Macaca fascicularis: one gene and its partners. The main gene of each other region encodes a partner of the protein of the gene in region 2 in a complex. Links are inferred from orthologs where the notes say so. Each region holds a gene or a part of one and is shown on either strand. Other genes may lie near its edges. The genes, in order: FLNA, ITGB7 and ITGAE.

The links.
Region 1: the proteins of ITGB7 (region 2) and FLNA are in contact, whole or in part, in a crystal structure (PDB 2BRQ), measured with the Homo sapiens proteins. The link is inferred for Macaca fascicularis from reciprocal best matches to the Homo sapiens genes ITGB7 and FLNA. Residues at the interface, in NP_000880.1 of Homo sapiens: Pro776, Leu777, Tyr778, Lys779, Ser780, Ala781, Ile782, Thr783, Thr784, Thr785, Ile786, Asn787, Pro788; in NP_001104026.1 of Homo sapiens: Thr2263, Gly2267, Ala2268, Gly2269, Gly2270, Leu2271, Ala2272, Ile2273, Ala2274, Val2275, Glu2276, Gly2277, Pro2278, Ser2279, Lys2280, Ala2281, Ile2283, Phe2285, Phe2311.
Region 3: the proteins of ITGB7 (region 2) and ITGAE are in contact, whole or in part, in a cryo-EM structure (PDB 8ZJF), measured with the Homo sapiens proteins. The link is inferred for Macaca fascicularis from reciprocal best matches to the Homo sapiens genes ITGB7 and ITGAE. Residues at the interface, in NP_000880.1 of Homo sapiens: Val201, Leu202, Pro203, Ser206, Thr207, Val208, Pro209, Ser210, Lys211, Arg213, His214, Cys216, Pro217, Arg219, Leu220, Glu221, Arg222, Leu255, Asp256, Ser257, Pro258, Thr291, Phe292, His293, Thr294, Ala295, Gly296, Asp297, Lys299, Leu300; in NP_002199.3 of Homo sapiens: Phe36, Leu38, Arg91, His92, Arg93, Gly94, Leu111, Arg113, Leu118, Ser119, Ser120, Leu122, Glu196, Glu198, Arg230, Tyr233, Glu234, Phe237, Glu238, Cys239, Asn240, Ser259, Gln260, Val262, Met263, Leu266, Arg300, Leu401, Gln403, Phe406.

The regions. Positions count from the first base shown.
Region 1 is NC_088395.1:160,354,183-160,363,839, reverse strand, and holds the start of FLNA (filamin-A), read right to left. Parts: upstream 4,936-9,657; 5' UTR 4,814-4,935; intron 1,671-4,813; 5' UTR 1,555-1,670; coding exon 1,182-1,554; intron 1-1,181. UniProt on the Homo sapiens protein: Promotes orthogonal branching of actin filaments and links actin filaments to membrane glycoproteins. Anchors various transmembrane proteins to the actin cytoskeleton and serves as a scaffold for a wide range of cytoplasmic signaling proteins.
Region 2 is NC_088385.1:59,998,325-60,008,245, forward strand, and holds the start of ITGB7 (integrin beta-7), read right to left. Parts: upstream 5,241-9,921; 5' UTR 5,191-5,240; intron 1-5,190. UniProt on the Homo sapiens protein: Integrin ITGA4/ITGB7 (alpha-4/beta-7) (Peyer patches-specific homing receptor LPAM-1) is an adhesion molecule that mediates lymphocyte migration and homing to gut-associated lymphoid tissue (GALT).
Region 3 is NC_088390.1:3,801,793-3,810,997, forward strand, and holds part of ITGAE (integrin alpha-E), read right to left. Parts: intron 9,073-9,205; exon of another isoform or gene 9,058-9,072; intron 7,739-9,057; coding exon 7,585-7,738; intron 6,381-7,584; coding exon 6,230-6,380; intron 5,150-6,229; coding exon 5,082-5,149; intron 4,234-5,081; coding exon 4,092-4,233; intron 2,736-4,091; coding exon 2,593-2,735; intron 2,254-2,592; coding exon 2,113-2,253; intron 1,214-2,112; coding exon of another isoform or gene 1,117-1,213; intron 829-1,116; coding exon 604-828; intron 1-603. UniProt on the Homo sapiens protein: Integrin alpha-E/beta-7 is a receptor for E-cadherin. It mediates adhesion of intra-epithelial T-lymphocytes to epithelial cell monolayers.

The DNA of each region.
Region 1 (9,657 bases), on a different chromosome or scaffold from region 2:
CCGGTCGCCCCCCCCCACACACACCATCCAGGACTCTGAAATGACTCAGCTTGGCTAGACTGAGGCTGGGACTTGGGGGGGTGGGCCTGCCCCTCGCCTCAACTGGCATTCCAAAGAAAGAACTTCAATTCTTGGGATCTGCCCTCTGAGTGGCTGGGGGAACCCAAGTCTTGGTCCCTCACTTTCTTGGGTTCAGCAAGGGCCATTCCAGAGCTGCAGGGATAACTGGAAGGCCTCTCAGTTCTGAAGAAGAGAAGAATCATCATCCCTCTCCTCTCCCTGTTCAACGTCACCCCCAAGTCACCCGTTCTGGTGCCTGCCCTTCCAAGCAGCCCCTATCTTGAGAAAGAACTGGGATGCTGCAGCAGGCCTGGTCAATGCCAGCCTCACCAGTCCAGTGACACAGACACTGGGCTGGCACAGTGCACGCCGGAGCATCTACCAACCAACTCCTGCGTGCTATACGCAGAAAAGCAAGGCCAACATGGAAGCAAGAATTTGTCCCAAGATGAACAGAAAAGTTGGCGTCCAAGTAGTCTACAAGCCAGGTCCCTCAGTCAACCACGCCCAACTCCGGGTACAGTTTTGCTAACTACGCTTCTTTCTGGCCCCCAGGTTCCCTGTGTGTGTGGGGGAGGTAGATCTAAACTGGTGGTTGGAGCCATCTCCGATGGGCGACGCATCCTCCAGGGACAGAAAGAGCCCAGAGTCCTAGACAATGGGACGCACGAGCTCCAACCCACACTTTAGAAACAAGGGGAGTTTGAAGCCAGAGGGCCCTCTCTAAACAGCTGTGGGGGGAGAGCCTGGGCCTCCTCCTCCTCGAGGATGGGGCGCAGGGCCAGAGCCTGCCCAGTGCCCGACCCCCCAGGCCCACTCCCACCGCGAGCACATCTGCGGGGGCGCGGCCTGCTGAGGATGGTGAGTTCAGCCTGGGCGCCGGCCAGCCGGGGCGCGGCGGGCGGGGGCGCGTAGCGGTTCGCACGCTCGGCCGGCCAGCCCGCCAGCCCGCCAGCCCGCGCGCCTTTGTTCTCCAGGCCCGCGTGGAGCAGACCAGCCGGGGGCCTCGGGAGCTGCGCCGCAGCCCGGAAGGAGGTGGTTTGGAGGGGTCCGCCCGGGGAGATGGAAGGACGCACGGAATTCCCGCCCCCGCCCGCCCGGCGCTTCGGGGCGTCCCTCACCGATGGACACCAGTTTGATGCTCTCGCGGTCCAGGAACTCGAGCGCCACCGACACATTCTCAAGCTGCATTTGGCGGAAAGTGGGCCGCTGGTTGTGCTTGCGGTGCATCTTCTTCTGGCTGAGCACCTCCAGCAGCGCGATGAGCCGCAGCCCGTCGCTCAGGTCCGTCTGCAGGTTGGCGATGCGCTTGCTCACGCACTTCAGGTGCTCGTTGCACCAGCGCGTGAAAGTGTTCTGCTGGATCTTCTTCCACGGTGCGTCCTCCGCGAGGTCCTTCTCGGTGGCCGGCATCTCCGCGTCCCGCGTGTCAGCGCCACCACCCGGAGCCGCGCCTGCTGCGCTCTGGCCCGCCCGAGAGTGGGAGCTACTCATTTTGAGGCGCGAGAAGCCGGGGGGGCGGTGCTGCAGCCTCGGCGAGGGGACGGCCCTTTAATTAAAGTCGCAGGCACCTCGGCGCGCGGGAGGCGAGGAAGGAAGCAGAGGTTGCGCTGCGGAGAGAGCGAGCCCTTTAAATGCGGGCGGAGGGCGGGGCCAGGGGGCGGGCCTCCTGCGGGGAGGGGCCGTGGGGTGGGGCTTCGGGGGCGCGACTGCCCCACCCCGCCCCGCCCGTTGGAATGCCCCCACTAGGCCCCGGGCTTTGGCTGATCAGACGTGAAACCCGGGCTCCGGGGTGGGTCGCTGGGCCCTGGAGTGGGCAAGGATGCTCCCAGCCCCGCGGCCTCGCGTTGGCGCTGCAGGAAACGCGCCCCAGAGCGAGGAAAGGCTGAGCAGTATCTGGCGCGGGACTGCTTGGCCTGCAGCCGGCGCGCCTTACAAGGGACTTTCCTTCCCCAGGGCTCCTGCGAGGGGTGGGGTGGTTCTCGTCCCTAAGTCACTTGGGCTCTGCCCCGTCCCTGCACAACCCTACCCTCCCACCGTCATCCCCTTTCCCCGGGCCCCCAGGGCCTAGGGTTCCCGGGCGGCATCCCGGTCCGCCGCCCCGGCAGCGGCGGGAAGGGGCCAACCCTAAGAGCGAACCCCTGGAGAGCGGCGGCCCCGGACCAGGCACTGCCGAGGGCCCTTTGTGTGCGCATCACCTGGGAAGCGGCTGCAGGGCAAGGCCTGCGCCTACGCGGTCCCCGCAGACCCCCTGCCACGGGCCTGCCTTCCCAGTCTGTAGGGCCCTCGCCTGCGCACCTGTGCCCGCTGCTTCCCACCGCCTCCCTCTCTGCTTCCCTCCACCCGGGAGGATATGGGGCACTGGGCCAGGAGGCCGCCGACACTCCAGGAGCAAGCAACCTTTGAAGGGGTCCGGGCGTGCCAACGGGCACGCCAGTGGGCGCGGGCAGAGGGTGCCGTGCGATGTGTGCAGAGACGTGTGCCCGCCTAATCATTCATGCCAGTTCACCCGGGGCACTGGGGGGAGTTGAAGCCGGGGTCCTCTCCTGTCGGAAAGGCCCCTGAGCCCAGCATGGCCAGCCAGGGGACAAACGGGAGTGGCATTCCAGACCCAGAGGGGCCTGCTCAGCGGTTCCCATAAGACTTGTCAGACTCTGAACACCTGGGTCTGGGTGGGCTTCGGGTGTGGTGGCAGGTGCAGAGGAGGCCTGAGGACAAGGATCAGGGGCCTGGGGTGTTGTGTCCCCAGAGCAGTGGGGGCTATTCACTCAAAATTTTCTGGTAGATAACTCTGGAGATGGTGCAGCGGCTGCTGTGCTGAGATGTAGACTGGGACCAGGGAACTGTTGGGGATGCTCACTGCTACTATCTTCAGCCAGAAGCCAGCCTGCCTATGGCTTCCTCCCCAGCATGCACTCCCTCTCTCAGTCCTCGGTACCTCCCCTCTCCGTAATGTTTCCTCCTCTGAGTATTTTTTTCTAGGAAGGCAGGTATCTGTCCCTCCTGCTCAATTCTAGTAATAATTAATTTATCTGCTAAAGACCAGTGAGAGGAGGAGGCTCCGGCTTGGCCAGCACGTCATGCCCAAATATGGTTGACTCTCCTGTAGCCCTAGTTGTCTACATGACATGTGGTCAGGCTGTGTGTGATCCACCCAGCACATTCACTTGGGGCTGCCTGTGGCCCCACTGGTTTTTCCCACTAGTGGTGGTGTTAGGGGGTGCAAATGGCATTTTCCAGTACTGAGGCCAACCCCTGTATATTGTCTCCTCTCCTGACGACTTTGAGACACACCTGCACCAAGTGCACCTGGGCGTCTGGGAGCTGGAGTGGAGGTGGGAGGGAGGACTGGAAAGGAGGGAGCCATACAGATCCCTCCCTGCCAGGCCCCATTCAAGACAGGTTTGAAGTTGTCCTTCTGGTCCCCCTGCCCCATGGAAAGTAAGTTCCCAGGCACGGAATTCCATCGAGAATTTACTCTCCACTAAGGGCCATTGAGTTGGGTTGTCTGGGTTCATTCCTTAATCTTCAGAGCTCAGGGAAACTGAGTCAGAGTGACCAGTAGCCAATTCCAGCAGAAAGGGTGTCAGGAGATGGGTGCCCTGTCTTCCAGCCCTAGCTTTTCCCTATTTAGAGGAAACAAGGAATGGGCGTGTAGAGGGTTCTTGTCCCTAGAACATAGTATCACCGCCAGATGTCGCCCGATCCCAGAGCCCCCAGATCGGGCAGTCTTGGGAAGCCAAAATCCAGCTCTTTCATATTTTCCCTTATTTGGAGTAGATTCTTGGATGTTAGACACACCCCGCCCACCACACCACCCCTGGCCCTCAGACCCCAGGCCAGACCCTCCCACTGGGAGGTATAGCCCAAGCCCAGGGGCTGTTCAGCTGGGATCCCTAAGGAGCCATTTCCAGGCCTGTGTAGCCAGGGGGCGCAGGAGGGAAGGAAGCAGCAGATTGGCAAGGTGAGAAGAGACCTGTGCTGGCAAGTCTGGGTGCGGCAGGTGAGGCTGCCCATTCCCAAGCTCCCACCTCGGCAGTGTACTCAGAGCACTTACAAATGGGTCTGCCAGTGGACTTTAACCTACTTTGCCTGGCCCCAGGTGGCATGGGAATCTGGGGACATTGCTGGTCACATCCTGGCTGGCAGTGCGCATCCAGCTCAGAGCCAATCTGGGATATGGCCCAGGGCCCGACCAAGGAACCTGGCCTGGCCTCAACCTCACCATGGCCGCCATGGAGTACAGCAGCCCAAGAACCAGCTCCCCTTTGCCCAAAGCAGCTGGTGTCCCGTGGACTCGAGCCAGCAAAGGACACGCTGTCCCCCTCCCAGTGGGCACACTGACTGAGAAGTGTCCTTCCAGGTGGCCACTCACCCTGAGTCCACACAAGTTCCTGGTGTCAGGGCCCTTCTCTCTCAGGCATGCAGTCTGTTCATGGGCACCCATGCAGGCACCAGTTTCCTGGCAAGTGCCCAGACACCCTCTTTCTCTAGGGGACCCCCCCATGGCCTCAGGCTCCCACATTCGTGGGCACAGACACGGCTCATGGGTCAACTAGGGAAGACATTCTCTGGACACTCACTCCCAGATGTCAGGGGCGCCTCCATCGGCTCACGCATCCCAGCTGAACCTGGCCCGGACCTGGGCGCGAGCTGGCGCCTGCGTTCTCGGGCCTCTGTGCCCGCCTTCTCCAACCCCGCCCCCGGCCGACAAGGAGCGCGGCGACCCTAAGCCGGGCCGCGGAGACCTCACCTGCTGTCCCTGAGAGCGACCGGTGGCCGGTGACCGCGGGGTGGCGCCCGGATCGCCTTCGCGCCCGCGCCGGGCGCCTCGGGGTTCTGTCGGCGTCCGCTGCGCGCGACGCGCCTCCACGCGAATGGGCCGCCGCCGCCCGCCTTCTTGTTGGCCGCATCCCCGCCCCGCGCCCGCCCCGCGCCCGGCCCGGCCTGGCGAGAAAGCCTTAATTGGTAAAATTGCCCAGGAGCCCGGGACGGGTGCGTGGGGGGCGGGGTGCGGGGGCGCGCCCTGAGCTCCAGCGACCCGCCGCCAGGCGACGCCGCCCCCCGAGATGAGCTCACCGCCGGCGAGGGCCGCCAGGCCCTGGGGGAGGGAGGACTTCGGCGGAGGGGAGGGAGTCGCCTCCAGCGCCCACAGGGTCTGCAGGGCTCATGTGTAGGCCCAATCACAAGGACGTTGCGTGTCTGAGTCTGGGGTAGCCAAGCGCACCCCAGGTGGAAAGGCCCAGGCCCAAGGCCACCTTCTCCAAGGAGCCACCCACAGTCACGGCCCCCCGGTATCTGTCCCAAGTCGGGATTGTGTTTCCTGGGGTGGGGGCAACAGGTCGTTGCAGGTGTTTGCTGGGTGCCTACCTCAGGCAGGGCCCCAGGACGGGACCGCAGGGCTCTGAGCCCTGGGATGAGCCTGACTGCCACCGATCGGGCGCTGCCAGGTCTGGCCTGGGGTGGGCAGCAGAAACAGGACCGCTCAGGTGGACAGTCAGGGGCAGTCCCAGAGCCTGGGAGTGTGCAGCGGAGTGCAGCCAAAGAGCCAAGTGTCTGTGAACATGGCGGTCACAGCCACGCCCTGGCACTGCCAGGCTCTCTCTTCCTCTTCTATGTGCCCATTTCCTGGTAGCTTCAGATTCAGCTCAAATGTCACTTCCTTGGGGAAAGCCGCATAAAGCAGTGCCGTTGTAACATCTTGCCCACAACCCCCAATAAGAATTACAGTTGACACTGTGAGCCAGCACACACACACAGACACACAGATTTGAAACAAAGAGTAGGCTGCTATTTTCTATTCTATTCCAAAGAGGGAAGGGTGGAAGGGAGGGAGGGAGGGAAGAAGGGAGTCTGCTCACACCTGCTAATTTAGTTCTGCAATCCCCAGTTTAACACTGTGGCAAGGCACTGGTTGCCCTCTAGGTCTTGCTGCCTCTGCTGGCAATGGCATTTCATCCCCGAAGCCCCGCGGAAATGTCCCAACAGGCCCAGGGGCTCATCTCCAGCTGCTCCATCCAGTGTGTGTGCCCTGCTGGGGAAGCCACTTGCTAGATGAGAAACCTGAGCTCAGGCCCTCGAGGTAGCTGTGCTGCGAATCACAGCCAAGGCTATCCTGAGGAGGGAATCCCGCCCACCCACAGGCACCGGAACAGGTGGAGGGAGCATGAAAGAGGTAGTGGCTGCTTGGCTGCGTCTCAAGATCCCCGCTGTATTTGAACCCTCTCTTTCCACTCCTGCACCGCTCCCCGACACACACACACCCCCTCTAAACACAAGCAGTTCTTTGAGTCTACTTTTTCCAGGTTGCAGTGGGAACAAAGGTTTCTATAACACCAGTCATTCCTTGTGAAGATCATGACATCTCCCTACGTTGAAGATGGCAGAGAACTGGAATTGGCTCCATTCCTGCTGCAAAGACTGAATCTCCAACCAGCTACACCAACAGTAGCAAGCTCACCACCCTCGAGGGCCACCAGGCCCTGGGGGAGGGAGGACTTCAGGGAGAGTCGCCCCCAGCCCCCACAGGGTCTGCAGGGCTCATGTGTAGGCCCAATCACAAGGATGCTGCGTGTCTGAGTCTGCGGGAGCCAAGCGCACCCCAGGTGGAAAGGCCCAGGCCCAAGGCCACCTTCTCCAAGGAGCCTCCCACAGTCACGGCCCCCCGGTGTCTGTCCCAAGTCGGGATTGTGTTTCCTGGGGTGGGGGCAACAGGTTGTGGCAGGCATTTGCTGGGCGCCTACCTCAGGCAGGGCCCCAGGACGGGACTGCAGGACTCCGAGCCCTGGGATGAGCCTGACTGCCATGGATCGGGCACTGCCAGGTCTGGCCTGGGGTGGGCAGCAGAAACAGGACCGCTCAGGGGGACACGAAAGTTAAGTTTGTTTAGTATTAAGAAGATTCTGATCTTAAAGAAAACATTGGCTGGGCATGGTGGCTCACGCCTATAATCCTAGCACTGTGGGAAGCTGAGGCAGGTGGATCACTTGAGCCCAGGAGTTTGAGACCAACCCGGGCAACACAGCAAGACACTATCTCTACCAAAAATATAAAAATTAGCTGGGTGTGGTGACATGCACCAGTAGTCTCAGCTGCTCAGGACGCTGAGGTGGGAGGATCGTTTAAGCCTGGGAGTTTGAGGCTGCAGTGAGCTATAATTTCACCACTGCACTCCAGCCTGGGTCACACAGTGAAACCCTGTCATTAAACATAAAAAAAAAATATGCACTGTAGCTCATGCCTGTAATCCCAGCACTTTGGGAGGCCGAAGTGGGTGGATCACGAGGTCAGGAGTTCAAGACCAGCCTGGCCAAGATGGTGAAACCCCGTCTCTACTAAAAATATAAAAACTAGCCAGGCACAGTGGTAGGTGCCTGTAATCCCAGCTACTTGGGAAGCTGGGGCAGGAGAATCGCTTGAACCTGAGTGTCAGAGTTTGCTGTGAGCCGAGATCACATCACTGCACTCCAGCCTGGGTGATAGAGTGAGACTCTGTCTCAAAAAAAAAAAAAAAAAAAAAAAAAAGGCCAGGCGCAGTGGATCCCAGCACTTTGGGAGGCCGAAGTGGGTGGATCACGAGGTCAGGAGTTCAAGACCAGCCTGGCCAATGCAGTGAAGCCCGGTCTCTACTAAAAATACAAAAATTAGCTGGGCATAGTTGCAGGCGCCTGTAATCCCAGCTACTCGGGAGGTTGAGACAGGAGAATCGCGAGAACCCAGGAGGCGGAGGTTGCAGTGAGCTGAGATCGCACCACTGCACTCCAGCCTGGGTGACAGAGCTAGACTCTGTCTCAGAAAAAAATAATAAAAATAAAAATAAAATGTTAACAGCTCAGTGAACAATCATCTACTTGTTATAGATACTGAGGAATGTTTCCATGTTGATATTTTTTCCTCATAACTCAGTCACGTTGGGATTGTAAGTTATACAACATATACTGCTTGCCAGCCATTCCATCCTTAAGGAGCAACTCAGTTTTCTTATTCTTGACTTAGAATTGGTTGCACCACGATGTCTCCTCTGCCTGCACTTCCCAGGAAGAATCCCCTGGAGACCCTCAGATTTTCCTGTACATGCCCTTCCCAGACCCTCTGACGACTGCAAATCCCACCCTACCCTTGACGGGAAACTCTCTGAGGCTGTCCAGGTCATCAACCCCAGGGACCAGGTACTGGTGGGGGAATGTTCCATGAATTAATTGCTGTACTCAGGGCTCTTGGACAAGTCTCCCCTGATCACAGGGTCCTGACTCTCCCTGTATAAGATGGACGCTCTGCTGCTCAGGAGCCTGCCTGGCTTCCAGTGGTCTGGAGTGGAGCTGCACTGCAATGGGGCTGGACTTAGGCTCCAGGTACCCACAGGGTGGGTGCAGGGGGACCATCACAGTTCAGCTTCCTGGTGCCATCTGTGGTGGGACCTGATTGTGGGGCAAAGGGGTGGGACATAAAAGGCAGAGTGCCGAGGCAGGTACAGAACGGGTGGGGGGTGCTCCTTAGGGAGAAGGCAAATCTAGAATTCCTTGACCTCATAAGGAAACAGCTTGGATCCGTATGGGGAGGGGTGGCATGGGGGAGGATGGAGCAGCACTTAGTACACAGAGGCCTCTGGGAGATGCGCCAGGATTGCAGAAGGCTTGCAGAGGTGCTGGGGAATCTGATTTTGTCAAACCTAAAAAATCCACGAGGCAGCCTCTGAGCAGCCCAGAGTCCAAACTGCCACCTGTCCCCTCAGCTCTGAAAGATGAGGTGCAAACCCCTGCCCTACCCAAGGCTCTCCTGCTGCACACTGCCAGGCACTGTCTTCATGGACCCATACTTCCTCCCACATTGCTGGGCACAGAGCAGGGCCTTACCAACAGTGACTCCTCTTTGTTAGGATCTTTGTGTGTAGTCAAAACAAAGACCCATCTCCTCATTACTCCCCTAGGTGTCTACCTCTTCCCACCCCATGGGCAAACCTCCATGGATGACTGGTCTGTGACCCTCACCAGCTGGCTCAGTCATTCTGGACACAACCAGAGCCCTCCCCTCTTCTTCCCTTGTCACCAGCCTTCATCTGTGAGACCACAGATGGTATGTCACCTCTTCATGCTCCCAGTTTGGGGCCTACCCAGTGAGGGGCACACTAGTTGATTCCATACACCCTCAGCTGGCTTTGTTTAGAATGTGAATGTCACAGTCAGGTGCGGTGGCTCATGCCTGTAATCCCAGCACTTTGCTGGGAGGCCGAGCCGGGCTGATCACTTGAGGTCAGGAGTTTGAGACCAGGCTGGCCAACATGGCGAAATCCCGTTTCTACTAAAAATGTAAAAAGTAGCCAAGCGTGGTGGCATGTGACTGTACTCCCAGCTACTCTGGAGGCTGAGACAGGAGAATCACTTGAACCCGGGAGGTGGAAGCTACAGAGAGCCAAGATCACACCACTGCACTCCAGCCTGAGTGACAGCGAGACTCTGTCTCAAAAAAAAAAAAAAAAAAAAAGGATATGAATGTCACCTCCTTTCCCTTCTCCATGGGACAGCCCATATCTGATCAAGGCCCTGGGAATCCTAGCCACAGTTCAGGCTCCTGAGCAGGCCTTGGCAGCCTTCCATAGCT
Region 2 (9,921 bases):
AAATACAAAAATTAGCCAGGCATGGTGGTGGGCTCCTGTAACCCTAGCTACTTGGGAGACTGAGGCAGGAGAATTGCTTGAAACCGAGAGGCAGAGGTTGCAGTGAGCCGAGATTGCACCATTGCACTCCAGCCTGGGTAACAAGAGCAAAACTGGGTCTCAATAATAATTTTAAAAAAAGGCCGGGCGCGGTGGCTCACGCCTGTAATCCCAGCACTTTGGGAGGCCGAGACGGGCGGATCACGAGGTCAGGAGATCGAGACCATCCTGGCTAACACGGTGAAACCCCGTCTCTACTAAAAAAATACAAAAAACTAGCCGGGCGAGGTGGCGGGCGCCTATAGTCCCAGCTACTCCGGAGGCTGAGGCAGGAGAATGGCGTGAACCCGGGAGGCGGAGCTTGCAGTGAGCTGAGATCCGGCCACCGCACTCCAGCCTGGGTGACAGAGCGAGACTCCGTCTCAAAAAAAAAAAAAAAATAATAATAATAATAATAATTTTAAAAAAAGCAATGAAGTACTGATACATACATGCTACAACATGGAAAACATTGTACACTAGCAGAAAACATGCTCAGTGAACAAAACCATTCATGAAAGATCACATATTGTATGATTCCACATATGGAACATATCCAAACTAGAAAAATCCACAGAGACAGAAGGTAAATTAGTGGTTACCAGAGCTTGGGGGAAGGGGAAATGGGGAATGACTGCTTAATGGGCAGTCTCATTTTTGGGGTGATGAGTAAGTTCTGGAATTAGTGAAGGTACTTAATGCCACTGAATTGTACACTTAAAAGTGGTAAAAATGATAAATGTTTGTGTATCTTACCATTTTAAAAATCAAAAAGTTAATCCTACCCCATATGCCATACCCAGTTTCCACACCTACCTTAAATGAATATCATTTATTACTATTTTTTTTCTTTTTTCTTTACTTTTTTTTTTTTTTTTTTTTTTTGAGGCAAAGTCTCACTCTGTGGCCCAGGCTGGAGTGCAGTGGCATGATCTACAGCCTCCGCCTTCTGGGTTCAAGCGAGTCTTGTGCCTCAGCCTCCTGAGTAGCTGGGATTACAGGTGTGAGCCGCTACGCCCAGCTGATTTTTGTGTTTTTAGTAGAGAGAGTTTCGCCATGTTGGCCAGGTTGGTCTCGAACTCCTGACGTCAAGTGATCCGCCCACCTCAGCCTCCCAAAGTGCTGGGATTACAGGCATGAGTCAACCTATCTTTGTTTCTTATAATCTTTCTAGAGATTGTTTTATGCATATACAGATTAACATGCATATGCTTTTTAAATGGTAGACTCAAATGGCCCAATTCTTTAAATGGTAGAAAACACAATTTTTCACTTTTTTTTCCTGTAACTACTTTTCTTTTTTTTTTTTTTTTTTTTTTTTTTTTTTTGAGACGGAGTCTCGCTCTGTCGCCCAGGCTGGAGTGCAGTGGCTGGATCTCAGCTCACTGCAAGCTCCGCCTCCCGGGTTCCCGCCATTCTCCTGCCTCAGCCTCCCGAGTAGCTAGGACTACAGGCGCCCGCCACCTCGCCCGGCTAGTTTTTTGTATTTTTTAGTAGAGACGGGGTTTCACCGCGTTAGCCAGGATGGTCTCGATCTCCTGACCTCGTGATCCGCCCGTCTCGGCCTCCCAAAGTGCTGGGATTACAGGCTTGAGCCACCGCGCCCGGCCTCCTGTAACTACTTTTCTTGAAGATCTTTCTACATGAGAAAATTAAGAACGTCCTTGTTCACTTTTACAGCCATAAAGCTTTCCATCGCATGGATACCTCATATCACAGTTAATCAGTACCAAGGATGTGCATTTAAATTGTCTCTTCTTTTTTCTTTTGAGACAAGGTCTCACTTTGTTGCCCAGGCTGGAGTGCAGTGGTGCCGTGATGGCTCACTGCAGCCTCCACCTCCTGGGCTCAAGCGGTTCTCCCCAGCTCAGCCTCCGTCGTAGCTGGGACCACAGGTGTACATCGTCACGTACAGCTATTTTTTATTTTTTTGTAGAGACAGGGTGTTGCTATGTTGCCCAAGCCGGTCTCAAACTCCTAGGCTCAAACTCCTAGGCTCAAGTGATCCTCCTGCCTCGGCTTCCCAAAGTGCTAGGATTACAGGCATGAGCCACTGTGCCTGACCTTAAATTATTTCTAGTTCACTATGACAAACAACGCTGAAATGAAAAGTAATGTATTTATTTATTTATTTATTCATTCATTCATTTGAGAGATAGGGTCTTTCTCTGTCACACAGGCTGTAGTGTAATGGCGCAATCATGGCTCACTGCTGCCTTGACCTCGCCGGCTCAACTGATCCTTCCACCTCAGTCTCCCGAGTAACTGGTACTACAGGCGCATGCTACCATGCCTGGCTAATTATTTTTGTATTCTTTTGCAGAGATGGGGCTTCCCCATGTTGCCCAGGCTGGTCTAGAACTCCTGAGCTCAAGTGACCCACCCGCCTCGGCCTCCCAAATTGCTATGATTAAAGGCGTGAGCCACCTCCCCCAGCCAAATGTCATGTATTTACCATTTCACTCGTGTGCAACTGAACCTGTAGGATAAATCCCTAGCAGAGGATGTGCAGGATAAATAGATAGATATCATTTTCAATGTTGGTGTGTATTTCATCTACATTCTCATGCTAAGAAAAGTATATATATGTTGGTGGGTATTGCCAACATAAACTCCTCGGTGCTTGTACTGGTCCACATTCCCATCAGCAGTGTATGAGAAAGGCCAACTAACTCCTCGTCATAAACCATTTGCATCTTCTTCAGCCTGGGCCAGAGTCAGTTCCAGATACTCTGCACAGAGTGTGGGAAAGGGGTGGGGTGCTGAGTTCTTGAACATCCTGGTGCTGCTCCCCACCACCTGTGACCTCAGGTGCCATATATAACGGAGGCTCCACCCCTCGGGGAGAGGCCGGCCCCAGTTCAGCCTCAGTGTAACCTCAGCCCTGCTTGCTCTGCGTGCCTGTGGTCAGGGAGGCTGGAGATGCTGCAACCCAAAGCCCGGTTTTGACTCATTTCTCTCAAGTGGAGCCCCAGCTGCCACATAGGTTTTTCAGAGATCTCAAGCCCACTCTTCTCCCCTTAAAAGGGGCCCTGGGACTCCCTGGACAGCCGTTTTCTACCTTTCTTCCCAATTATCCTCTCTTCTCCCCTCCTTGGGAATACATGTTCTGCCACCTGTTTCTTTGCTTCTCTGTCTCTCTCTGGCTCCTTTCATTTCAAAACTTCTATTGCATCTCTCTGCTGCTTTTCTCTGCTCCACTTCTTCATAGGGCTGTTTTACTTCCTTTTCCCCTCTGTTCCTAACTATAGAATGGCTGAATCTTCACTCCATCCCACTCTTTTCACAAATGGAAACCTAAATTCCATGAGGCCATGAAGGGGTCGCCTGCCCCTCCACACCTGTGGGCGTTTCTCGTTAGGTGGAACGAGAGACTTGAGAAAAGAAATGAGACACAGAGACAAAGTATAGAGAAAGAAAAAGTGGGCCCAGGGGACTGGCGCTCAGCATACAGAGGACCCGCGCCGGCACAGGTCTCTGAGTTCCCTCAGTATTTATCGATCATTATCTTTACCATCTTAGAAAAAGGGAAGTGGCAGGATAATAGGATCATCGTAGGGAGAAGGGCAGCAGTAAGACATATGAATAAAGATCTCTGTGACATAAGTTTAAAGAAAAGTGCCGTGCCTTGATATGCATATGCAAACATCTCCATAAACCTTTTTAGTGCATAAAGAGCAGCATTGCTCTAGCAAGTCCCACCTTTCGCCCTAAGGTGGTTTTCTCCCATCTTAGTAAATAGAATATATAATCGAGTTTTACACCGAGATGTTCCATTGCCCAGGGATGGGCAGGAGACAGATGCTTTTCTCTATCTCAACTGTCAAGAGGCCTTCTTTCCTCTTATATTAGTCCTCTTCAGCACAGACTCTTCACGGGTGTCAGGCTGGGGGACAATCAGGTCTTTCCCTTCCCACGAGGCCATATTTCAGACTATCACATGGGGAGAAATCTTGGACAATACCTAGCTTTCCTAGGCAGAGGTCCCTGCGACCTTTGGCAGTGTACGTGTCCCTGGGTACTTGAGATTAAGAGAATGGTGATGACTTTTCACAAGCATCCTGCCTTCAGGCACTTGTTTAACAAAGCACACCCTGCACAGCCCAAAATTCGTTAAACCTTGAGTCACCACAGCACATGTCTCTTGCAAGGACAAGGTTGGGGGTAGGGTCACAGATTAACAGCATCTCAAATGCAGAACAAAATGGAGTCTCTTATGTCTACTTCTTTCTATACAGACACAGTAACAGTCTGATCTCTCTTTCTTTTCCCCACAAGGCCAGGGTCACCCAGTGAACTAGGGGCAGGGCAGGACAGGGCAGGGCCAGACCTCTGCTGTGCTTCCTCCTTTCCTCCCTCCAACCCGGGTACCATCTCCATCAAAAGTTGTGTTCTGTCTCCGCTAGCCCTGATGGGCTCTGCCTAATCCCATTTCTCTTTCCTTAGGGGTACTCTGCAGTCTTCCCTTCTCTTCCTGGGACCAAGTGGTTATTTCCATTTTTCTGGACTCCATTCTGACTCCAATACACACCATGTGGCCCCCCTCAGCAGCTGAGAAACAGAGCCTCTTCCCAACCCATCCATACCTCCCAAGTCAAGCAGAACCCTCTGCTGCCCACTGGGAGTCACAACAAGGGAACGGAACTGAGCTGCTGGGCCTCAGTGTCCCAGGAGAGTGAAGTCTGTGGCCAAGGTGCCGATTAGGAAGAAGTTTGAGCTGAAGGCAGAGCATTAGGGATGGCAGCTGGGGTGGTGTTGGGAGAACCTTCCCTCAGTATAATCGGTATACCTACCCTACCTCAGTATAATCCTTAGCACATGGCAGGCACTCGAATGACAGCACTCGTACACATCCCTGCCTCCAGACCCACTGTTGGGAAACTGATGCAAGAGAGATGGGCTTTGGGAGAAGTGGGGGTGGGGGGGCTGTGAAACTGGAGGAGGGAAGCAGGTCAGGGGATCTTAGGAATGCAGAAAGGAGTTCAGAGCCTTTCTCAAGTCTGGACAGGACCCTCGATATCCAGGTCAGAGCCCTCTTCCCAAGAGGTTGGGACCAGGTGGGCCTGGGCTTGTAAGGAGAGGAGGCAGAAGGGCTGGTGCCCTGGTACTCACAGGTGCGTGCAGAGCAGCCCTTCCTCTGGCGGCGGCAGCAGCCTTTGTGTACTGGTCTGGGAGACTGCAGAGGAGGAAGTGACACTCCCTGGGGTGGGGAAGATTTGGGGTTGGTGGGGGTGACTGATCTAGAAGGTGGAGCAGATTGGGGTGGGGCTGAGCCAAGGGAGTGGATGATACAGAGATCTGGAAGAAAGAAGCTCATTTATTGAACTCCTGTCGTGTGTTGAACGTAACATACTATAATTAACCCTCACAACCACCTCATAAGATAGGGGTTAATATTCTCCTAAGTCCCAATTTTACAGATGCAGAGATTGAGGCTTAGAAGCAGGAAATATAGAATTTTGCCCAAGGTCCCACAGCTAGTAAGTAGCTAGTCTAGGATTTAAAAAAAAAAAAAAAGGCCGGGCGCGGTGGCTCAAGCCTGTAATCCCAGCACTTTGGGAGGCCGAGACGGGCGGATCACTAGGTCAGGAGATCGAGACCATCCTGGCTAACACGGTGAAACCCCGTCTCTACTAAAAAAATACAAAAAACTAGCCGGGCGAGGTGGCGGGCGCCTGTAGTCCCAGCTACTCAGGAGGCTGAGACAGGAGAATGGCCCGAACCCGGGAGGCGGAGCTTGCAGTGAGCTGAGATCCGGCCACTGCACTCCAGCCTGGGCGATAGAGCGAGACTCCGTCTCAAAAAAAAAAAAAAGAAAAAAAAAAAAAAAGAAAAAAGATTTTTATTTTAAATTTTTGTTATTTTTTGATTTTTAATTTAATTTAATTTAATTTTTGAGACAGGGTCTTGCTCTGTTTCCCAAGCTGGAGTCCCATGGCATGATCTCAGCTCACTCCAAACCCCGCCTCCCAAGTTCAAGCGATTCTCCTGCCTCAGCCTCCCGAGTAGCTGGGATTACAGGGGTGCACCACCATGCCCGGCAGCATTCTATATTCTTAGTAGAAACGGAGTTTCACCGTGTTGGCCAGGCTGGTCTCAAACTCCTGACCTCAATTGATGTGCCCACCTCGGCCTCCCAAAGTGCTGGGATTACAGGTGTGGGCCACCGTGTCCAGCCTATGTTTTTATTTTTGAGACAGAGTCTTGCTGTGTTGCCTAGGCTGGTCTGTAACTCCTGGATTCAAGCAATCCTCCCACTTTGGCCTCCTGCATAGCTGGGATTACAGGCACACCCGGCTGGTCTGGGATTTAAATCCAGGTCTGCCTGCCTCCAAAATTCATGATCTCTCTATTAACTTATACAGGAAGGAACATGATAGGAGGGAATAGAGGCAATAAGTACTGTAGAGAGGCGGGAAGTTAGAGACTCGTTCATTTTGAAAACCCAGGATACATTGTATTAGTGTGCTTGACTACATAGGCTCTGGAGCCAAGTTGCTACAGTTCAAATCCTGGCTCTACTACTTACTTGTAGTAAGGATCTTAGCTGAATTACTTAACCCCACCTGCAGCTGTTTTCTCATCTGTCAAGCAGGACTCACAGGATTGTCGGGAGAATTAAAAGAGATAATTCATATCAATTGCCTAGAAGACTACCTGGCCCATACTAAGTAAGGGCTTGATAAGAGAATTAGTAGGGATGAGAAGTGACAGGTGAGAAGTGAAGAGGCTTTGAGAAATTCAAGGTCCAGACAGCTGGAAACTTGGAAGAGAGAGGCACAGGGCCAGGCTCAGAGCATGTGATTGGGGAGCCAGGAGCCAAGACAGTAGTGGAGCCTGGGAAAGGGGTGGAGGATGTGAACTGGGAGAAGCAGAGTGCAGGAACAATAGCTGAAGCCAAGGAAAGGATGAAGCCTGTAGGGAGAGTAGGAAAATATTAATGGGATTTGCTCCTGGACCATACAGATCACTAAGAGCTTTGAGAGGGAACTAGACATGAGATCTGTGTTCACAGGTTGATCTCCCCTACCAGAAGGAGCACTCCTTGTGGGCAGGGACTGGCTCTACCAGGCTTCCCTGCTGGCGCCACCACACCTAGCCAAGTGCCCATCTTACAGTAGGTGCTCAATGTCAGATGGATTGCAGAGGTGTAGCTGCTAGGAGGGGACAATTGGAGAGGAGGGGCTCTTTCTCTGGGTGGGCTTGGCCGGCCTCAGGCTATGGGGTAGCCAGAACCCATACCCTTCCCCCACAACCAGGGTTTACCACGGCAATGACCCTCCTTCCCCACAGGCCCTGTGGTTTCCTCTAGAGCTTCTTTCACTTTCTTCTTCTGCTTTCCGCCCTCCACTCTTCTCTCCCCTACTCCCACATCCTCAACTTTTTTGTCATATCCACAGGTCACCAGTGAAGAGAGCCAGGAACAAGGTAGGCAAGGCACTGTCCCAGGGAAGGTAGAACACGGAGGCAGGGCTTGAGGGGAGTCACAGAGGGCGAAGGGAAGAGTACAGGGTGCAACAGTAGAGGCCAAAGACACTGCAAAGGCGTGCTGCAGAGAGGTGTGTGGGAGCAAGGACAGATATTCGGAGAAGGTAACAGTGCAGGGGGCGGTGAGTGGAGGTCATGGGGTGAAGAGTGGGAACAGAGAGGGTGGGGGGAGTAAGCTATAAGGTGATAGCAGGGTGGGTGGGGACAGAAGGCCAGAGGGCTCCCTGGGTGAGGGGCTGGTGTAAAACAGAAACACTGTAGCTTAGATGCAGGTTGTGGTTCTTCTCTTCTGGGGCCAGGAACCCTCATAAGAACTAAATGAAACTTCAGGCCAGGCACGGTGGCCCACGCCTGTAATCCCAACACTTTGGGAGGCTGAGGTGGGTGGATCACTTGAGGTCAGGAGTTCGAGACCAGCCTAGCCAATATGGTGAAACCCTGTCTCTACTAAAAATACAAAAATTATCTGGGCATGGTGGTGCACTCCTGTAATCCCAGCTACTCAGGAGGCTGAGGCAGGAAAATCCCTTGAACCTGGAAGGCAGAGGTTGCAGTGAGCCAAGATCACGCCACTGCACTCCAGACTGGGCAACAAGAGTGAAATTCTGTCTCAAGAAAAGAAAATACTCCTTCCCCAAAGAAGAGCAGATATGCACATATGCATAATTGGAGGTGGGGACAGGCTTACAGACCTGTGAAGTCCATTCATGCCCTCCCAGAGATCCACAGGATCCAACATAAGAACCCACACCAGGCCAGATGCAGTGGCTCACGCCTGTAATCCCAGTACTTTGGGAGGCCAAGGCAGGCGGATCACCTGAGGTCAGAAGTTTGAGACCAGCCTGGCCAACATGGTGAAACTCTGTCTCTACTAAAAATTAAACAAATTAGCTGGGTGTGGTGGTGCACCCCTGTAATTCCAGCTACTCGGGAGGCTGAGGCAAGAGAATTGCTTGAACCTGGGAAGTGGAGGTTGCAGTGAGCCGAGATTGCGCCACTGCACTCCAGCATGGGCCTGAACCCACACCTGGTGGTTGTGGGAAACCCGGTCACTCAGGGTGAGTCCCCATGGCTCCCTTTCCCCCATCCTGTCCCCACCGCAATCCAGGCACATTTCATCCTGTTTTCTTCTACCAAGAAAGCTGCAAAGTCCAATCAATTACAAGCTCTCCCTACTCACTCAGCTTCCTCACCAGGTCAGCTGATCATTTCCCTACCACCTCCTAAAGGGAGCCACATCCCATGAGTTTCCATCACTTTATTTTGCAAAAATAGAAAACTCAGCAATATGCAATACAGCGGGGTACAGGGGAGATGTAAACAGAGGGGAGGGGACAGTACCCTGACCCCCCAAGAGAACACAGGGAGCCAATGGGAATCTTATTTGGCAGCTAAATACAAACTGGGGATTGGAGGAAGAAGGGAGGGGTCACAGGGGCCCTGGGCTCCCCCACCCAAGACCCCTGGAGGAAAGGGTCAATTCCAGGGTGTAAACAAAAGCTAATAAATAAATAGAGGCTTCCTCTGGGTCAGGGCAGGATCAGCTAAGCAGCATCCCCCCTCCCTGGGCCAAGCTGCTCTGGGGGGTAAAGGGTGGAAGGCACTAGGGAGAGAGGGATCCCCTGGCCCCTCTGTAGTGTAGGAGGGTCCCTGCCCCGATGGCTGAGATGGAGGGCAGGAGGAGCCCAAGGCACATGACAGGGCTGGGGGAGGGACTTGTAACGGAGGGCACAGGGTGAACTCTGCACCCGAGCCAAGAGGTGCAGAATGGACCTGCATCTATCTGTCCCTTTCACCCTCTGTTCCTGCCCCAGAAATGCAGGGCCCAGCCTGCCCCCACCTTGACCTGGCACAAGGACGGGGCACAGAGGCTAGCACACACCCTGCAGGTGCATCACACAGCATTAGGCACCAAGGGTAAGGGCAAAAAGGTGGGCTCAGCCCTTCTCCTTTGCCCCCTTTTTGGTCTCTAGTGTTCCTATTTGCTCCCAGAGAGCCAAGCACCTGGCAGAGGAAGGGGCTGTGGAATGGCAGGGTCTTCCTCTTGCCCTGGGGAGCCTAGGACCCTGGCACCTGAGGGGCAGTGCTGAGATTTTAGAGTCCAAACTCAGGCTCATCCCTCTGCCCTCTCTCCTGGTGGGAGCAGGGCAGGCCCCCAGGACTGGCGAGGGAGCCGGTTAGATCGGGAAGGGGATGAACACAGAGGCACCCCTGGAAACTTTGGCAAAAACAAGGAGCTCATTGGAAGGGGTGGGGAGAGGGCAGAGCAGGTCCTCCCCCAGTCACTGGCAGTCTGGGAGATGGTCAGTCTGCTGCCTGGAGCCCCAACCCCCACAGCGGAGAGGTCAGGGGCCC
Region 3 (9,205 bases), on a different chromosome or scaffold from region 2:
GCTAGAATCATGAGGACGTGGGGACTGACAGCTGTGCAGGGTGTGAGCATGCTGGGGACCCTCTGAGGTTTCTGGTGTTGGGGGTGGAGGAGGATGAGGACTCAGAGGAGCATCAGGTCTGGGGGAGCAGGTGCTCTCAGATGGGCCACACGGGCAGGAGTGAGATGCCTGGGGCCATCCAGGTGGAGGTTCTCAGGAGGAGCTGCAGGTGGGTGAAAGTACCCGTAACACATGCAGTGTGAGAGGCTGGCGAGGGAGCCCTGGGGAATGAGAGATAAGGCAGAGAGGTGGCTGGGTGGGAGACAGGAGCGAGGGACAGAAAGAGAGGAAGCAGGGACCCGAGGCAGGTGGGTGGAAGGAGAGGGTATAGGCCAGGGAAGGAGACAGGTACCGCCACAACCTCCCCTCAACCTGAAGGGGCTGAGCTGAGGCCCTGGTCTGGAACCTCCCACCAGCCTGAGGGACTTCTTTCTTCCACTGGGCACTCCCAGCCCCCTGAGACCTGCCCAGCACTTAGGACTGAAGTCGACTTGGGGCTTGGTCATCATATCTGGGAGAGGTCAGAGCCCCAGAGGAGAGGAAGGAGAGGGCCCCATGGGTCACCTGCGAGGGGCTGGCGGAGAGGCCGTCCCAGTGTCCATTGTAGATATACACACTGCCGAAGCTGGCACCATCACCTGCCCCGAAACCTTCCAGGGGGGCCCCGATGGCCACATCTGTGAGCTTATCCTGACTGATATCCCCCACAGCCGCCATGGCAAAGCCAAAGCGGGCACTGGCGAACCCGGGGTGCCCACTCAGTATGCGTGCCAAGGAGAAGGAACCATCCTGTAAAGCAAGCAAACAGCTCAGCCCCCAAGAAGGGGCGCTAGGTGCCCACTCCATGGCCACCCAGGATGCACGCTCACTGGGCTGGTGGATTCTGATTCTCCAGCAGGGAGCCTGAGCCCCAGAAAAGGCCAGGGACTTTCCCAAGATCACACAGCACGAGGGGAAAGCTGGGGTCCTCCCACCTTGAAGTTCAGGACTCAGAGCCTGCCCCCCTCTACTTCCATGGGCAGGGGTGCATTGCTGCAAATGGGAGGCCTGGGTTCCACTCGCGGCTCTGCCACATACATGCTAGGTACACTTGAGCAAGTCTCAGCATCACAGGCTCACCGAGCCCCAGCTTCCTCATCCGTAAGATAAGAGTGGCAGCTACCTCCCATAGTTGCTGTGAGAAACAAATGAGATCCTGGACTAAATGGGCTTTGCCACCCATGCAGCTGTAAGAAATGTCATCGGCTGGACGCAGTGACTCAGGCCTGTAATCCCATCATTTTGGGAGCCCGAGGTAGGTGGATCACCTGAGGTCAGGAGTTCGAGACCAGCCTGGCTAACATGGCAAAACCCTATCTCTACTAAAAATACAAAAATTAGCTGGATGTGGTGGCAGGTGCCTGTATTCTCAGCTACTTGGGAGGCTGAGGCAGGAGAATCACTTGAACCCAGGAGGTGGAGGTTGCAGTGAGCCGAGATTGTACCATTGCACTCCAGCCTGGACAACAGGGTGAGACTCAGTCTCAGAAAAAAAAAAAAAAAAAAAAATGCTGGGCGCGGTGGCTCATGCCTGTAATCCCAGAACTTTGGGAGGCCGAGGTGGGTGGATCACCTGAGGTCGAGAGTTTAAGATCAGCCTGACCAACATGGAGAAACCCTGTCTCTACTAAAAATACAAAATTAGCCAACCAGGCGTGGTGGTGCATGCCTGTAATCCCAGCTACTCGGGACGCTGAGGCAGGAGAATCGCTTGAACCCCGGAGGCAGAGGTTGCGGTGAGCCGAGATCACGCCATTGCACTCCAGCCTGGGCGACAAGAGCGAAACTCTGCCTCAAAAACAACAACAACAACGAAAAGAGATATTACAGATATTATCAACGACTGCCCTTGGGTAAGAAAGTGGGTGCGGAGAGAGATGCCGCTGCCCTGCCCAGCCGCCATCCAGCCTGAGCACCTCCCCATCACTGCCCACTGGTGCCAGGCAGAGCCAGGGCACTCCCAGCCTCCATCACCTCTGTGCCAGGCTGAGTGCCACAGCCTTATCAAGCTCATGAAGATGGAGACTCTCCCACCTGCTCACTGAGACGGTACACGTAGACTCTGCCTTCTTCTCCATGAACATGGTAAAATGGAGCAGCCACCAGCAAGAAGTCCGTGGTTCCATCCATGTCAATGTCCACAGGGCACAGCTCAGAGCCAAAATAGGACCCCATCTACAGCCCGGGAGGAACTCAGCTCACCAGGAGCCCCACTCCTCCACCCCTCAGCAAGGCTACACTGTGCCCACGTGCTTCCTGGACCACCCGGTTTGGGTCGTTACATATCAGTTTGCTCACTGAGAGTAACAGGAGAGCGGAGGAGCAGTCCAGGCCCCACAGCGGAGGAAACTGTGTAGCAATCAGACATGCAGAGCCCTTGAGCTCCACTCAGGAGCCTGAGTTTTACCCGGCCTGGGCCCTGGCCCACTGTGCACCCTGGGACCCACCCCTTTCCCTTGGGGCCTTCAGATTCCCCATCCGTCAAAAGGGGTGGGAGCTTTCCCCAGTGGGTACCTGCTCTCCCTCTAGCACTGGCAGGAAGCTGGTCTCTGTGCCCTCCTTCTGGAGCTCAAACACGGCCCCATGATGTTTGTACCGTGGAGCCCCCGCGACGTAGGAGACGCTGCAGGTCTTGTGCAGCACGGCCACAGCGTAACCTGGGGCAAGGGTGGGATGGCTGTGAACACACCGTGTGCTCCCACCTGGCCTCTCTTTTGGCCCCGGCACCTTCCCAGTCAGGCCTTCAAAGTGGCCTGGGGAGGGGGGTAAAATAGGAGAGACTGTCTTTCTCACTATATTAAAGATCTGCACCAGCAAACACTCTCCCTTTACCAGTCACACACATCCCCATCAACAGAAGTGATGCACACACTGTCACGTATGCAGCTTTGCTCAAAACACTCGTTCGCACACATCTACTACCCACGCTCACACACACACCCTAGGGGGACTGAGAAGAGGTGTGAGAGGATTGCCCACCACTATTATTATTTTTGTTTATTGATTTATTTTTGAGACAGAGTCTCGGTCTATAACCCATGCTGGAGTGCAGTGGCACAATCTTAGCTCATTGCAACCTCCACCTCCTAGGTTCAAGAGATTCTTGTGCCTCAGACTTCTGAGTACGTGGGACTACAGGCGTCTGCCACCACGCCCAGCTAATTTTTGTATTTTTAGTAGAGACAGGGTTTTGCCATGTTGGCCAGGCTGGTCTCGAACTCCAGACCTCAGGTAATCCGCCCGCCTTGGCCTCCTGGGATTACAGGCGTGAGCTACTGCACCACTATTATTAATGGAGAGGCCCCGCCTTCCTGTGGGCGGCTGCTCTGCCTGGTGTACCTGATAGGCCCTGTCCCTATCCAGGAGGCGGTAATTCTCAGCCTCAGGGTCCCTAACCAGGGCCCGCCCCTCGGCCCATGTGACCGACCAGGTCTCGCCCCCATTTGGAAACCTCAAGTACAGCCCAATGCGCAGCCTCGGTGTCCCCATCTGGGCCTCACCCTCACCCAGGTAATCTCCAGGCCCCGTCCTTCCCAGGTAATCTCCAGGCCCCGCCCTCTTCCAGGTAGCCCCCAGGCCCCGCCCTCGCCCAGGTAGCCTCCAGGCCCCGCCCTCACCCAGGTAGTCTCCTGGCCCCTCGCTCCTCAGGTAGCCCCCAGGCCCCACCCTCGCCCAGGTAGGTCCCGCCCTCGCCCAGGTAGCCTCCAGGCCCCGCCCTCACCAGGTAGCCTCGCCCCCCAGGCCCGGCCCTCACCCAGGTAGCCCCCAAGCCCGGCCCTCACCCAGGTAGCACCCAGGCCCCGCCCTCACCAGGTAGCCTCGCCCCCCAGGCCCGGCCCTCACCCAGGTAGCACCCAGGCCCCACCCTCACCCAGGTAGCCCCCCAGGCCCGGCCCTCACCCAGGTAGCCCCCCAGGCCCCGCCCTCACCCAGGTAGCCCCCAGGCCCCGCCCTCACCCAGGTAGCCCCCAGGCCCCGCCCTCACCCAGGTAGCCCCCAGGCCCCGCCCTCACCCAGGTAGCTGTACTGCGCAGCCTCCCCGTCCACCGCCGCCGTCGTCTGGTTCAGGAAGCGACCCCGGCGGCTGCGTGTGTTGTAGAGCAGCGCGCCTCCGGACCAGTCAAAGGCCCCGACGGCGCCGAGCAGCACCTGCCGCTGAAGGGGACGGGGATGGGGCCCAGATGAGTGGGAGGGACCCAGGGCCGGGCCACGGTGGCAGCGGGTCTCTGGGCCAGCGCGGCTAACCTGGCTGGGAGAAGGGGGGCGTTCGGTGGCCTAGTGCCCGTCTGGCCAGAGATGCAGGTGCGAAGGTGAGATGGCCAACCCTGGGCTCCTGCCTCGTGCCCTTGCACTCCCGCCTCCGGGAGAAGCAAGCAGCTTGGTTGGTAGGCTGACCCAGGCCGAATCCTGTTGACTGGTCTGTATTCAGGGGAGCAACTGGATGTTTGAGCACACAGAAAAAATCCACCTCCTGTCATCAATATGGCCACACTTCTGTCTATCTCAGTGGTCCAGATTAAGATGAGCAGGCAGAAATATTTCCCTTTATCCTAAAATGGCTCTTTCAGGCCCGGCGTGGTGGCTCAGACCTGTAATCTCAGCACTTTGGGAGGCCGAGGCAGGTGGATCGCCTGAGGTCAGGAGTTCGAGACCAGCCTGGCCAACATGGTGAAATCCCGTCTCTACCAAAAATACAAAAATTAGCTGGCCGTGGTGGCAGGTGCCTGTAATCCCAGCTACATGGGAGGCTGAGGCAGGAGAATCACTTGAACCTGGGAGGCGGAGGTTGCAGTGAGCCGAGATTACACCGCTGCACTCCAGCCTGGGCGACAGAGCAAGACTCCGTCTCAAAATAAATAAATAAGTAAAATAAAATGGCTCTTTTAGAGGAATCATCACAGGGAGAGCAGAGCTCTGGATGGGAGGCAGGAGTCCCTGAATCCTAGGTGTTCTGGGCCCCTTCCCAACGGGCGAGCCTGCCTGGTGCTGAGTCAGCCACATACCTCATCCAGGATCTGAGCACTGAAGCCGATCTGTGCCAGCTGGTAGTGAAGGGCGTCTCCAACCGTGCCTGCAAGCCAAGAAGCCCAGTGAGACTGCTGTGGGCGGAGGTGAAGGGAGAAACGGAGGCAGGGGACAGTCCAGCTTGGCCTCAGGGAACCATGCTTGGTGTAACAGGAAGAGCACCCGGTTGAAGGTAGAGACCCAGGTTCTCCTTGAGCAACTACTGTCTGGGCAGTTCGCTCTCTCTTTCTAGGCCTCAGTTTCCTCGTCTGGGAGCTCCTGGGAGAAGGGACTACGCTCCAGTCATCCTTGTTTCTCCAGCACCAGCTCAGTTCATCAGAACTTCATGGAGATTCTGGGACGCAAGGAGGTTGGAGATATTGTTGCCTTCTTTTTTTTTTTTTTTTTTTTTTTTGAGACAGTGTCTTGCTCTGTTGCTCAGGCTGGAGTGCAGTGGCTCAATATCAGCTCACTGCAACCTGTGCCTCCCAAGGTCAAGTGACCTGTTGCCTTAGCTTCCCAAGTAGCTGGGAATACAGGTCACGCACCACCACGCCTGGCTAATTTTTTTTTTTTTTTTTTTGAGACGGAGGCTTGCTCTGTCACCCATCCTGGAGTGCAGTGAGGCGATCTTGGCTCACTGCAAACTCCGCCTCCTAAGTTCAAGTGATTCTTCTGCCTCAGGCTCCTGAGTAGCTGGGATCACAGACATGCACCACCACGGCCGGCTAAATTGTTTTGTATTTTTAGCAGAAACAGGATTTCACCATGTTGGCCAGGCTGGTCTTGAACTCCAGACCTCAGGTGATCCACCGGCCTTGGCCTCCCAGAGTGCTGGGATTACGGGCGTGAGCCACCACACCCGGCCCCAGCTAATTTTTGTTTTAGTAGAGACAAGGTTTTACCATGTTGCCCAGGCGGGTCTCGAACTCCTGGCCTCAAGCGATCCACCTGCCTCTGTCTCCCAAAGTGTTGGGATTCCAGGCGTGAGCCACCACACCCGGCCATTGCCTTTTTAGACATGGAACAGCTGAGGCTTAGAGAGATGATGGGAGTTGCTCAAAGAAACCACATGAAGATGGGACAGAGGCGGGGCTAGAGCACAGGCTGGGGTCTCCTGTGGTGGCGTGGGTCCTGGAGCCCTCACCTTCCATGCTGATGATGTTGTACCGCAGTTTGCTCAGCAGCCCATCCAGCGCCATGTAGTTAGTCACCTTGAAAGCGTGGGTCTCATCCGGGTCTGAGGCGATCAGGTTGAGTTCCCTCTCAGTCCTAGCACTCTTAAATTCTTCTCCCACCTGCACAGGGGGCCTGGGTCAGCGAGTCAGCGCCACGGGGATTCCCCAGGCCCAGGGAGAGAGCTGAGCCCCTTCCCCTGGCCTCTGGGGCCCTCCATTACCTGCCTCCTTTCTTCCTTTCTCCTCCTTTCCCTGCTCCCTGTTCTACACACACTCTGGGCAAAATTCCAGTTTTACCAAAGTACACCAGTTCTCCTGAACACACCGAGCCCCTCCTCACCTCTGCACATGCTGTTCCCTCTGCCTGCAGGGCCCCTCTCTGCCTCCCCTGCGCCCTAAGCAGCTACTCCCCTTCCCTCTGCCTGCGGGGCCCTCTCTGCCTCCCCTGCGCCCTAAGCAGCTACTCTCGTTCCCTCTGCCTGCAGGGCCCTCTCTGCCTCTCCTGTGCCCTAGGCCAGCTACTCCCGTTCCCTCTGCCTGCGGGGCCCCTCTCTGCCTCCCCTGCGCCCTAAGCAGCTACTCTCGTTCCCTCTGCCTGCGGGGCCCCTCTCTGTCTCCCCTGCGCCCTAAGCAGCTACTCCCCTTCCCTCTGCCTGCGGGGCCCTCTCTGCCTCCCCTGTGCCCTAGGCCAGCTACTCCCATTCCCTCTGCCTGCAGGGCCCTCTCTGCCTCCCCTGTGCCCTAAGCAGCTACTCCCCTTCCCTCTGCCTGCGGGGCCCTCTCTGCCTCCCCTGTGCCCTAAGCAGCTACTCCCCTTCCCTCTGCCTGCGGGGCCCTCTCTGCCTCCCCTGCGCCCTAAGCAGCTACTCTCGTTCCCTCTGCCTGCAGGGCCCTCTCTGCCTCTCCTGTGCCCTAGGCCAGCTACTCCCGTTCCCTCTGCCTGCGGGGCCCCTCTCTGCCTCCCCTGTGCCCTAAGCAGCTACTCCCCTTCCCTCTGCCTGCGGGGCCTTCTCTGCCTCCCCTGTGCCCTAAGCAGCTACTCTCATTTGTCTGGCAGGACTCAGCTCGGCACCACGGTCCTCCAGGAACATTCCTTGGTGCGTTTCCTGTGGGCTCTCCCGTCACTATTTGGCCAGGAAGCTGTGACCACCATGGGGAAATGGGCCCTCTCTGGGATGACAGGGCATGGGGAGAAGGGGAGTGTTTGCGAACAGAACAGGGTCTGGATAAGCTGCTTACAGAGAAGCCCCCATCTACAACCCTGACTCCTCCCCACCCCAGGCTGAGCAGGGTCAGGAGGGGCCTCCCGGCTCCTGGCTCTTACCCCAATGGCAAAGCGCTCAACACCATGCATTTTAGGGGAGTTGATGACTGTCGTAAGGTCGAGAGGGTCCTCGAATATGCCACCATCAGTGAGCACCACCATGACCTTGGATGCCTTTCTTCTGGAGCCGTGGCTTGAGGTGAAGATGTTGTCTCTGAGCAGGGGAGAGTAAAGGAAGAAGAGAGCTTTGCCAGAGGCATGACCGCCTCCAGGAGAGACTTCATTCTCTGACCTGTATTAGAATGGGGAGGGTTCACAATCCTCCCAAAAGACCCAAAGAAGGGGGTGATGCCCCCTTAAGTCACACAGCGAGGCTAGGCAGAGGGAGGGCTGTAACACAGGTGTTCTTGCTTCTCACCTGCTCCCAGCAGAAAGGTGCTGGCTGGCAGTCTCTTCCTTTTGTGTGCATACAGGAAGAGTAATGACATTAAAATGATAGCTAATACTCTATTATCTATCATTTATGATAGATAATATCATATGCCAGGCGTTTATCATGTGCCAGACACTGCTGTAAACACTATATATATATATAATTTTTTTTTTTCTTTTTGAGACGGATTCTCACTTTTTCGCCCAGGCTGGAGTGCAGTGGTGCCATCTCGGCTCACTGCAAGCTCCGCCTCCCGGGTTCACGCCATTCTCCTGCCTCAGCCTCCGAGTAGCTGGGACTACAGGCGCCCGCCACCACGCCCAGCTAATTTTTTTGTATTTTTAGTAGAGACGGGGTTTCACTGTGTTAGCCAGGATGGTCTTGATCTCCTGACCTCGTGATCCACCCACCTCGGCCTCCCAAAGTGCTGGGATTACAGGCGTGAGCCACGACGCCCGGCCAACACTGTATATTTTAACCCATCCAACCGCCACAAAATCTACCAGGTAAGTGCTATTATTTTTCTTTCTTTTTTAGAGACAGCATCTCACTCTGTCACCCAGACTGGAGTACAGTGGTGTGATCATGACTCACTGCATCCTTAGACTCCTGGGCTCAAGCAGTCCTCCTGCCTCAGCTTCCTGAGTAGCTGGAACTATAGGCACAAGCCACTGCTCCAAGCTGTGAGTCCTATTATCATTCTCATTTTATTTATTTATTTTATTATTATTATTTTCTTGAGAGAGATGGAGTCTCACTCTGTTGCCCAGGCTGGAGTGCAGTGGCACCATCTCAACTCACTGCAACCTCTGCCTCCCGAGTTCAAGCGTTTCTCCTGCCTCAGCCTCCCAAGTAGCTGGGATTACAGGCACCTGCCACCACACCCTTTGTATTTTTAGTAGAGACAGAGTTCCACCATGTTGGCCAGGCTGGTCTCAAACTCCTGACCTCAGGTGATCCACCTGCCTTGGCCTCCCAAAGTGCTGGGATTACAAGTGTGAGCTACCGCGCTCAGCCTATTTTTCTCATTTTTAAAGTGAGGAAACGGAAGCCCAGGTCACAAGGTCCTTCAGTTCGCCCAAGGTCACACAGATACAAACCAGAGCTGAGATCTGAACCCAGCCGGCCTGTCCACCGAGCACTCTGCTCTCCTGCCTCTCACAAGAGGAAGTCCTTGGAAGACTTTTTGGAAGACAGTCTTGAGGTATCATCCCTCACGTTCTCTCTCAGCCACGGAAAGGCTGGAAC